Cricetulus griseus: one gene and its partners. The protein of the gene in region 1 purifies or fractionates together with the protein of each later gene. This does not show direct contact. Links are inferred from orthologs where the notes say so. Each region holds a gene or a part of one and is shown on either strand. Other genes may lie near its edges. The genes, in order: Arpc5l, Arpc2 and Arpc3.

Region 1 (3,750 bases):
CGCTTGTCCTGACCAGGCTGGCCTCGAACTCAGATACCCACCTGTTTCTGCTTCCCAAATGCTGGGGTTAAAGGTCTGTGCCACCACTGCCAGACAGTACCTGCAGCTTTTTGTGAAGCAATCTTCACAAAAGCTACTGCTGGGTAGAACTGGGGGGGGGGGGGGGGGGGCAACTCTACGATCACACAAAGTTTACTAAACTACCTCCATACCTAGACAGCTTCCAGCACTTTCAGAGAACACACTGTGGTAACTACAGAACCCTCTAGACTGTTCTCAGCCATGACCCTAAAACTTTGATGTGTGTTGCAGGATGCTTAACAGCCTCCCTGGCCTCTACCGTTAAAGTTCCCAGTAACATCCTAAAACTGTGATAAACAAGTGTCACCAGATTGTCAAATTTCCTTGGGGGTGAAAAGAACTATATGAAATCACTCAAAATGGTGCTCTATAGTCCTCTTCAAGGACCAAAAGCTGCTTCACTGAGAAAGAAAATGAGCTACAGTGATAATTTAAAACTGCCAGAGTGGAGGAAAAATCTCCCCAGGGTCTTAGACCCAGGACTAGATGCAGTCACATTTCACATTTCACCTTCCTTTAAAAATCCTCTGGGACAAGAACCTGACTTCTTCCTTTGAGACAATGAAACTGAGCCAGAAGGGAAATTACCTGCTCAAGGTCACAAATCCAAGCCCTCTGTACACTCCATCACCACAACCTGTGGAGAACACCAGATGTGTGTTCCGTGAAGCTACATTGAAGTTGTGAGGCCAGCATAGTTATGTCTATCATTTAGAAAAAGAATACTGAGGTTGAGAAGTATGTGACCTCTCAACCGGGGCTCTGCAAAGTCCACCAAATCTTCCTGTGCTGGTCCTGGGCCCTTCCCCATGTGTCCACGGCCAGAGCGTATCCCTTCACGTGGGAAGGGCTCTCAAAGTCCCTTCTTGCACCAGGGAAAAATACTCTATCTGCTCTTCTACAATGGCAATTCCCACAACAGCGGAGACCACTTCCTCTTAGCCCCCCCCCCCAAACCTCTGCTCTTCTCCAAGACTCCCTCCCATGAGGTTCTTTGGATTGAATGCAATGATCGAAGTCCAACACTTGGCACCTGGAAGGCACTCAATTACTACTTCCATCCTTCCCCCTACCTGCTGACATCTGCTAGGGTTTCACTTCTCATCTGCTAACCTCCCTTCTCCCAATCCCAAGAGGTACATTTTCCACCGTAACAAGGCTTCTGATACTGCCATCTCCTCTCTCTAGAAGCTCTAAATCTAAAGCCTGAAACTGCCTCATTAAAAAAATAATGAAAACAGCTAGCGCCAGGCATTGGTGGCGCACACTTTTAGTCACAGCACTCAGGAGGCAGAGGCAGGTGAATCTCTGTGAGTTCGAGGCCAGCCTGCTCTACAGAGTGAGTTCCAGGACACAGAGAAACCCTGTCTCCGGTAAAAAAAAAAAAAAAAAAAAAAAAGTACCAAGGCAACAGCTGACCAAGCCCCAGTCTCTTCATCAATATAATTAGGATTCTGGGTCAAATGAATCACTCTGGAGCCTTGTCAACAATTGAGTGCCCATAAACCAGTCAATTCCCTGCACCACAATAAAAACCGTTCTCATCACCCCATTTAACCACTTGAATGATGCAGGAAATACAAGTTTGAAATCTCCACGTTTGAAAACACTCCTGTCTGGACGAGTTGTTTTAAAGGTATATTAGAGAACTACGGGGCTCCTCCCAAAAGCAGTAGGCCTGACTTCCCAGGCTAAGTCAACTGATTAAACACCCAGAACATGATTTATATACAGCAAGAGCCTCCAACACGGCCCTAGCAAGTGCGGGGGAAGGGTACACACCATTTGCATAAAGAATAAAAACTTCCTGTGAGATTGTCAGTTCCCCGTGGTGCTCAAGCCAGTTGACAGTCACCTCTATTTTTATTCTTCTGTTCTAAACGTCAGTTTTCTGTGGCCACAAGAGCAGTCATTTCCAGTCGCTGGGGAGTCTCTTTTACACTTGACACTAGCTTTTTCTATGCTTCCTGCACAAGGCAGTTAATGGGAGAGTCGCAAATCACTTGTTGAATGTGGCTCGGCCCATAAAAGCTCAAAACCCAACGTGCTCAGAGGAATGTGATGACAGGTGAGAAGAGGTGGCACGGCAATGTCACACCCTCCCCTCCCCAACCCCCACCCTCTGGTCCATCTTCCCCCCAACAATCCACCCACCTATTTTCACGCTGGGCTGCAATCGGGCCCAAGAAAGCCATAGACAGGCCGCCGGAGGCCCTGGCTGCTCAATGAATCCAAGGTGGCTCACCTCCGGCCCTCCCGCGGATCAGCGGCCGGGCATGGCCCAGTCTCCTGCAAGGAGGTTTGGAGGGATCAAGGCCCATGCACGGGTACCCAGAGGGATGCGGAGGAGTAAAACGAGCTCCAGGGCCGCGCTGCTGAGGAAGGGTAGAGGCCGGGGACGAAGGACCCGGGGAGCTCGGGACTGGTAGAAGCCGGGCGGGGGCTAGGGCTGGGGCGAGAAGGGTGCGTGCGAAGGCCGAGTCCGAGCGGCCTCGCCGGGAAGGATATTGCCGCAGGAGCCCGTCCACCTCGGCGGGGTCGGGGCCTGGCTCGCCAGCCGCCGCCGCCGCCTCTTCCTGCTCGTCAACGAATTTGTTCTCGTCAAACTCGTCGATGTCCACCCGACGGAAACGTGAGGACAGTGTGTTCCGGGCCATGGCGGGAGCTCGGCGGCTGCCCAGCCGGCTAGATCCCACTGCCCTCCGCACCGGCTCCGCTCGGGGGCGGGAAGCCGCAGCGAAGCACCTCCTGCCCTTCTCCACGCGCAGCCGCCGCCGCCCGCCCACTTCCGGGCCACGTCGGAACCGGAAGCTTGTGTGGGCGGGACAGAGGCGCGGATTCGTTTGTTCCTGTTGTGGCTTCCCCTAGCGGTGCCGCGGTTGCTGTGTCTTCCTCCAGGCTACCGGCCTGCGGGCACAGGCAGCACCTCCGTCAGCTCCTGAGGAAGAAACCCTTGAGCTGAGGAAGGAGTGATAGTGAAGCGCGTCGCCTGAGCCTCTCTACCTTGGACGCGAACCGCACTGACCCACAAAAGGATTCCTGTCTGGTTACAGAGAAGTGACTTTGTTAAAGGAGTGAAGGGCTTTATAACTGCGTTAACGTATAACCCAAGAACTGACATGACGCTTGAGGACATCTTTACTTGAAGATGTAGCAACATCTCCGGGCGCTCCGAAAAAAAAGATGCCGTGGTCACCTTTATTGCTGAAGGCCGATGCTGACTTGAAGAGGTGCATTTTAGGAGGCGAAAGCAGCAGAATTCAGAAACCGGTGGGAAGAGTGCAGTTAGTCCAGGAGGCCTAGGATGCTGGTTTCTCCTGATTTCAGCTGTAGGCTAAAATGGGCTTTTCCCATAATTGTACGAAAACTTACTACATTTTCATCTGATAGCACTCTTGTGCAAAAACAGTATTTGAAACATCATGTTTTGCTTTGCCTACTTCCCATTGAACTGTATCTGTAGATCAAAAACTGCCAGGCAGACATGGTGCAAGTAGATGCTGAATAAAGTCTCAGATCCTGGAAGTAGTCAAAACCTACCTGTATATCTGCCCCATACATAAGAAGAAATCTGGGATGCAGGCTGGCCATAAAATAGCAGGAATTAACATCTGATATTATAAAAGATGTCCTTTTTTTTTTTTTTCTTGGTTTTTCAAGACAGGATTT
Region 2 (3,650 bases), on another chromosome or scaffold:
TTTGTTTTTTCATTTAACTGATGGGTGGTTTGTTTGTTTTTTCTTCCATCAGGATACAATGTTTCTTTGCTATATGACCTTGAAAATCTGCCTGCATCCAAGGATTCTATTGTGCATCAGGCTGGCATGTTGAAGCGAAATTGCTTTGCCTCTGTCTTTGAGAAATACTTTCAGTTCCAAGAAGAGGGCAAGGAAGGAGAGAACAGAGCGGTCATCCATTACCGGGACGATGAGACCATGTAAGTGTGAACTTCAGCTCCAGCCTGGTGGTGGCCTCCATACAGCACTGACTGAGAGAGATACAGTATCAACCAAATGAAAAGAAACCCTGTGCTGTCCTTAAGGCACTACTCTTTTTTTTTTTTTTTTTTTTTTTAAGATTTTATTTATTATGTATACAACGTTCTTCTTCCATGTATATCTGCACACCAGGAGAGGGCACCAGATCTCATAAAAGATGGTTGTGAGCCACCATGTGGTTGCTGGGAATTGAACTCAGGACCTCTGGAAGAGTAGTTAGTGCTCTTAACCTCTGAGCCATCTCTCCAACCCTAGGCACTACTCTTATTATTTTATGTGTATTGGTATTTTATGGTTGTGAGCTGCTTTGTAGGATGGGAATTGAACCCATGTCCTCTGGAAGAGCAGCCAGTACCCTTAGCCAGTGAGCCATCTCTGCAGGTCCAAGGCATTACTTTTCTGAGTTTTCTTAAAGGAGTTTCCCATGGGCTAGGGAGAGACTCAGCCCTTCAGAGTACTGTCTGCTTTTCCAGAGGCTCTGAGTTCAGTTATCAACCCACATGGCAACTCATAGTCGTCTGTGACTCAAATCCAGGGCATCTGACTTTCTCTTTGGACACAAAGCACACACATGCACAGTTATACATACAGACAAAACACCTGTACATATAAAATTAAATAAACACATGAAAAAATTTAAAAATGGCCTAGATAGTCAGACACCAGAGACCAAGCATAGATGCTGTAACTGCAGCTCTTAAATGTGTACTATGTATGGATCCTATCATATGTAAAGAAACTTTTTTTAAATGACATTATTAAGAATTACTAATTTAAAATAATGTTATGCCTTATATACAAGATTTAAAAACCTAGTTTTGTTAATTCCACTTCCTTCTTGGGAATGCATTTACTACCCTGACTTTCTTGACTGCAAGTACTAGTCTCTGGCACACCTTTGTTTTATTGAGTTGGAGACTGCACTTTACCCTTCTTGCAGATAGTTAGTGACAGAATCTCCTGATGCTGTACTTACACGCCCGAGTTTGTTTCCCTCAGGTATGTTGAATCTAAAAAAGACAGAGTCACAGTAGTCTTCAGCACGGTGTTTAAGGATGACGACGATGTGGTCATCGGAAAGGTCTTCATGCAGGTATGGAGCACAAATCTTCAAGGGAAATGGTGTTGCAGGAAGTTAAATCTTTACACTCTGCATACCTAGCCAACATATGGGGTAGGGTTGTATAGATCAGTGGTTGAGCATTTGCCTAATATGTACATGGTTTGTGGTTCAATCCCCAGTACCTGGGAACATGGTAACAGAATAACATACATGTAGGCCATATCATAGGAAAGACAAAGTTCTGTTAATGTTGGAACTTGGAAGTTGTGATGAACAACCCTGTCTTAGTTTGTTTCTTTGTTGCTATGATAAAACACTGTGGCCAAAGGGTTTATTTTACCTTAGACTTCAAGGTCACAGTTCATCACTGAAGGAGTCCAGGAGCCCAAGAGCCTGAAAGCAGGAACTAAAGCAGAGACCATGGAGGGGTGCTGCTTACTGGCTTGTTCCCCATGGCTTGCCTGTCCTGCTTCCTTATACAGCCCAGGACCACCTGCCCAAGGGTGGCACAACATACAGTGAGCTGGCTCCTCACATTAATCATTAATCAGGAAAATGCCCCACAGACATGCCCACATGACAGTCTAATGGAGGCAGTTCCTCAGTTGAGGTTCCCTCTTCTCAGAAATGTCTAGGTCTGTGTTGAGTTGACAAAAGCTAACCAGCATGGCCCCCCACCAACTTATATGAATATACTATTTCTTCTTGATGGTTCTAGCCTTTTGCAGGACAAGGCAAGAGGGAGAGTTAATTTTGACTGAATATTAACTATCCTTCCTTCCTGTGACAGAGTCCTTGATCTAAAGTGTGGTCTCATTTCCTTATCTCATGTTTACTCAGTTTTTGTATCAAGGACTGTTCTTGGCTTGCATTAGGTCCCATGTCTTCAGAATGATGAATAATGAATTCCAAAGTAGGAGATAACATTCAGTAGGTGGAATTGTGGCTGACAGGAGAGCCCTGCCATAGTTTGAATGAGTCACCGTAGATTGCCTCCTGCTGGGAAGAGTAATGGGATTTAGAAGAACATTTTGTCATTGGGATTCTGGTGCAGTGGGACTCAGCATATTGTAGACCCCTTGTGACTGTGTCATTTTGCCTGCTGGCCAGTCACTGGCTCTCAGACATGAGAGCTTATTGATCAGGAGATACTCAGGCTGCTGCCTTCTGAAGTGGATAAGCATTCACACTGCAATATAAAGCTTTAATACATTTTCCTGTTCTCTGGCAGAATGATGGATTTTATTTTGTTTTGTTTTTAATTCTGAAGCAGACAGGCTTATTGCCCAGCGTCTAATCCAACCACTTAGAAGCCTGAGGCAAGAGGATTGCTGCAAGATGGCCTAGGCCTCAATTTTTTTTTCTTTCAGAGAAAAAAAAAAATTTTAAAGTACAATCTCTACCACCACCCCCCCCCTTCCAAAAGAGGCTTAAAAGAAGCTGTGGTTACCACAGTGAGGCTTTATGTATGGACCTTCTACCTAGCAAGGGAAAATGTCAAAATGCCATCCTCATTAATGCCTTTTTTTGGGACTGACTGATCAATAACTCTTGTTTGGGAGTCCCTTTGTGAAAAGTGGAATATTGACACTTTGGCATTTGATAGTACTGGACTTCATGAAGAAAAAGAGGGTATGCATATATGACTCTTAAAGGTAAGCCCCTAGACAGACATTCCATAATACTGTTTGCATAATTAATGGGAATTAAATGCAATAGTTAAGAAGTGGACTAAATCTAGGCTAGGCTAATTTAAGATGCTACCTTTATCATACACAGTTTATCCCCAGGATAAATTGTACTTTGTTGGAAGAAAGAAATAGTGCCATGGTAAAATCACAAGCTCGATGGCCTGATTTGAGTTCCATCCCAAGGTCCTACATGGTGGCAGGAAATAACTAACTTCCTAAAGTTGTCCTCTAATCCACATATATGTGCAGTAGACCAGATGCTCACACTCACAGAGTGAATGAAATGTAATAAATGTTTTTAAAAAAAGTAATAGTGTACTTGGTGTTCAGCCGACATCCTAACAATCAGGTTGGTTTTTATGTGACGGCTAGGCTAATAATGAAGACTGGGGCTGTTTGGTGGGGCTGATTGCTGTTGTTATTTCAAGAGAGAGCAAGGGAGAAGCAAAGACATCAAGTTGTCTAAAGGCAATTTCCCACTGCAGAAATAGTGTTGATTAAATCTCTTGAGGAATGGGGAGAAGGAGGAAGAGAACTCATCTTATGTAGCCAAGGATGACTTTGAATTCTTCGTTTTTTGTTTGTTTTTTGTTGGT
Region 3 (3,750 bases), on another chromosome or scaffold:
GTGTGTGTGTGTGTGTGTATGTATGTGTGCACACTCCAGTGCACTTGAGTCTAATTTTAATTTTATTTACAGTTGGATTTTTGTTTTTTGAGGGATTTTCTTTTGATTGATTTGTTTGTTTTTGAAGAGGTACAATTATTGTAACAAAACATATCTCCAAATGAAAAAATATTGGAAGGGTATATATACATGAATCTTATTTTCCCAAATCAAACATTATTTATACAATTAAAAATTAAAACTGTGTTTTGAGATATGTATTTATGAATGTATGTGTTGGAAAGAAATAGGTCCTCCCTTTTTTTGTATTTTGAGAGTGTTTCTCTGTGTAGTCCTGACTATCCTGGAACTCACTCTGTAGACCAGGCTAGCATCGAACTCGGAGATCCCCTGCTTCTGTTTCCCAAGTGCTGGGATTAAAGGCAAGTGTTACATGGATGGGCAGTGGTGTTGCACTTTACTCCCATGGTGGTCCCTGACTGTCTCAATGTGACAAGGAAGACAGGGAGATGAAACACCACAAGTAGACATCATAAAACTGAGCAACCAGGAGTGATGGGGACCACACCTGTGATGCCAGCATAAAAGTATTCAAGAGGATGGCTCATAAATTCAAGACACATGTATCCAGTTTGAGACCAGCCTGGACATTGTAAGAATCTTCCACAAGAAAATAAAAATAGGGACTGGAGAGATGGCTCAGCAGTTAAGAGCACTGACTGTTCTTCCAGAGGTCCTGAGTTCAATTCCCAGCAACCACATGGTGATTCACAACCACCTTGAATGAGATCTGGCGCCCTCTGCTGGCATGCAGGCAGAAGACTATAATAATAAAATCTTAAAAAAGAAAAGAAAAATAAGGGCCGCCGAGATGACTCAAGTGCAAAGGTACCCGGAGACCTGAGATCGGTGCCCAGAGTCCCCATGGTGGAAGGTGAGCACCAACTTCGACTCCCCACGTGGGCTGCGGTAAAAATAAAAACTTGACAGTGGAGGAGGATAAATCAGGGAGCTGAGTGGTACCGGATTTGAAACAGGCCAGGGAATTTAAAAAAAAAAAAGCGGGAGGTGATTATTAACCTCTGAAGGACTCTTTAATTGTAAAGCTGCGTGCGCGCGTTTTATGAATGCGCTACACACTCAGCCTATTGCTCGCACATCCCTGGCGTCCTTTCCGGTCAGAGCGGTCGCAGCAACCGGGAGGCGGAAGCTAAACCGGAAGTGCATCTCTTCGCTTCGCCCGCCTCTTCCGGCTCACTTCCGCCCACTCCACCCAGGTTCGCTGGCCGGAAGCGTTCCGCTTTACCTGGGTCCTGCTTCTCTGGATCGAATCCGGACACCTCCAAAATGCCGGTAAGGCTTCGAGCCCCGAGGGTGGAGAGGCGAGCGGGGCAAGGGCCAGAAGAGAGGCGGGAGGCCGCGGTAGAAGTCCGGGGAGAGAGAAAACAGCTGCCCTGCTCTCCAGCCCCAGCCCTTTGCTCCAGTCCTTTTCTCGCAGGGCTGCTTTCTTCCTAGTCCTGCAGTGTTCCCAGATCCCACCCGAGAGCCTCGAAGTTAAGAACGACGGCTTTTAACTTATTTTTAAATCTAGGGTCCAGCTTCCCCTTTTCTCTCCCCGTTGTCACTTCCACTTCCTCCTCCGCCCCATGGAGTGGGTCAGCCTGCTGCTAAACACCTGTCGGGCTTCGCTTCCCTGACCGATCCCTACCTCGTTCTCCCTGCTGTAGCTCCAGACCACGATCGAGACAGCGCTGGTTTCTAGGAGTTTTCTTTTTCGTGTGCTTTCGAGTGGGAGGAAAAATTGGTGATGGGCGATGTGTCTTGACATTTGACTGCCGGTCTCCATCATGGGTTCTGTTTTGCAGATTAGTAAAGGGATGCGTGAATAAATCCACATTGGACAAGCATCCCTGAACTCTCACTAGGAAACCAGCACTGTTAACAGCAGCTACCAAGGCCTGCTCAAGGAGCTTACAATTAAACCGTCAGGGGAAGGAACTCGTCTGCAATTTCAGAGCTGGGAAGGGTTAGAGATCCCTGAGGCTCCTTGTCCCAAAACTAAAGTGGAAAAAGCAGTTGTGGAAGAGACCTGGCTTCCATGTGTAGATGTACACATACACCTGCATGCACACATGAACACTTATACACTACACACAAACATGCATGAGTGATGTATGGACATGTGCAAAGAAGAAAACCAACACAGTACCCCATGACAGAGAGGGCACCAGGCTGGTGTAGATACGGTGTACTTGGGTCAAAAAGGAGAGCAAGTGTAAGTTTCAGCTCTGTGTATGTGTTTTAGCAGTGCTGGGAATTGAACCCAGAAACTCATGGCAGGCTATATAGATCCTCTACCACTGAGCTATATCCCCTCCTCCTTTTTACCCTATTTTGAGGAAGGGTCTCATAAAGTTGCCCAGGCTGGCCTTGAACTTGTGATGCTCCTGCCTCAGCTTCCCAAGTAGCTAGGATCACAGGCCTGCATCACCAAGTTCAGCTTTGTAAGGTTTATGAGTCTTGATGAGTCTTAGAGTTGCTGAGTGTATGTGGAGACCCAGGGTTACTGTCCAGATGAGACCTTCATTCCCAGGATGACACTATGAAGTAGATGTCCTTATTGTGATGGTTTTGCTGAAGGAACTAGGGCTCAGAGAATTAATGTGACTTGTGCAGTGTTTCTCACAAGAAGTGAAGCCAGAGTTTAAGCCAGAAAGGAAAGCTCTGTGCTCATTCCAGTTGGACACAGAAAGTTCTGGACTTAACCTATGATAATTTATTTTATGTCTGCTTTCTCTGTTAGCATGAAATATCACATGTGTGCCTATATATGTGATATTTGTGTGATATATGAGATCTCATGTCAGGGCCTAGAGAGATGGCTCGGCAGTTATGAGTGCTTGCTGCTGTTAGAAGCACATATACTTGGTGTCACACAAAGAAACACATAAACAAAGCAAAAGCAACTTAACAGCAATTTTTTTCCAAAAAAAACCCAAAAGATGTACCATGACCTGGACACAAACAGAGTTAGCAAGCACAATGGGATGGGGTGGGTAGTTCACATAGTTTTTATTCTCACTCAAGTAGTGACTGTGTCTTTCATGACTATCTAGTTTTAAAAGAGTCTTCACGTAGGAAATGAAGGGTACGGGAAAGGGTCAGCCCCTTGGGCCACCAGGTTCTAGCAATGTAGCAATGCCTTTGGATAACAGAAGTGGTACCAGGTGGGGAGATTAAAAGATATGTGGAGGTGCTGGGCGGTAGTGATGAATGCCTTTAGTCACAGGCAGATCTCTGTGAGTTCGAGACCAACCTGGTCTACAAAGCTCCACTGAGAAACCCTGTCTCAAAAAACCAAAAGAAAGAAAAAGAAAATGTGTGGAGAGATGGCTTAGGGATTAAGAGCACTGGCTGCTCTTCCAGAGATTCTGAGTTCAATTCCCAGCAACCACATGGTGGCTCACAACCATCTATAATGGGATCTAATACCCTCTTCTGGCATACAGGCATACAAAAAAATAGAAATAAATTTAAAAGTTTTAAATGTACATAAAAGATTTACTAGGTGGGGCAGATTGGCTCTTGAAGGGCTAGCTACCATTGACATCAGAAAAGCCCTATTCTCACACTGCTCTTAATAGAGCACTAGAATTTTGTTCCCAGCATCCATATCCATCAGCTCACAACAGCCAGGTCCAGGGAACCCAACAACCACTTCTGAAACACTCTGGGCACTGTATACACATA

The links.
Region 2: the proteins of Arpc5l (region 1) and Arpc2 fractionate together in Homo sapiens (co-fractionation; 7 studies listed by BioGRID and IntAct, with this or other methods). This does not show direct contact. The link is inferred for Cricetulus griseus from reciprocal best matches to the Homo sapiens genes ARPC5L and ARPC2.
Region 3: the proteins of Arpc5l (region 1) and Arpc3 purify together in Homo sapiens (affinity purification with mass spectrometry; 7 studies listed by BioGRID and IntAct, counting the BioPlex papers as one, with this or other methods). This does not show direct contact. The link is inferred for Cricetulus griseus from reciprocal best matches to the Homo sapiens genes ARPC5L and ARPC3.

What each region holds. Positions count from the first base shown.
Region 1 is NC_048599.1:150,270,701-150,274,450, reverse strand, and holds the start of Arpc5l (actin-related protein 2/3 complex subunit 5-like protein), read right to left. Parts: upstream 2,859-3,750; 5' UTR 2,739-2,858; coding exon 2,590-2,738; intron 1-2,589. UniProt on the Homo sapiens protein: May function as component of the Arp2/3 complex which is involved in regulation of actin polymerization and together with an activating nucleation-promoting factor (NPF) mediates the formation of branched actin networks.
Region 2 is NC_048595.1:427,495,460-427,499,109, forward strand, and holds part of Arpc2 (actin-related protein 2/3 complex subunit 2), read left to right. Parts: intron 1-52; coding exon 53-239; intron 240-1,299; coding exon 1,300-1,393; intron 1,394-3,650. UniProt on the Homo sapiens protein: Actin-binding component of the Arp2/3 complex, a multiprotein complex that mediates actin polymerization upon stimulation by nucleation-promoting factor (NPF).
Region 3 is NC_048597.1:102,222,534-102,226,283, forward strand, and holds the start of Arpc3 (actin-related protein 2/3 complex subunit 3), read left to right. Parts: upstream 1-1,108; 5' UTR 1,109-1,347; coding exon 1,348-1,353; intron 1,354-3,750. UniProt on the Homo sapiens protein: Component of the Arp2/3 complex, a multiprotein complex that mediates actin polymerization upon stimulation by nucleation-promoting factor (NPF).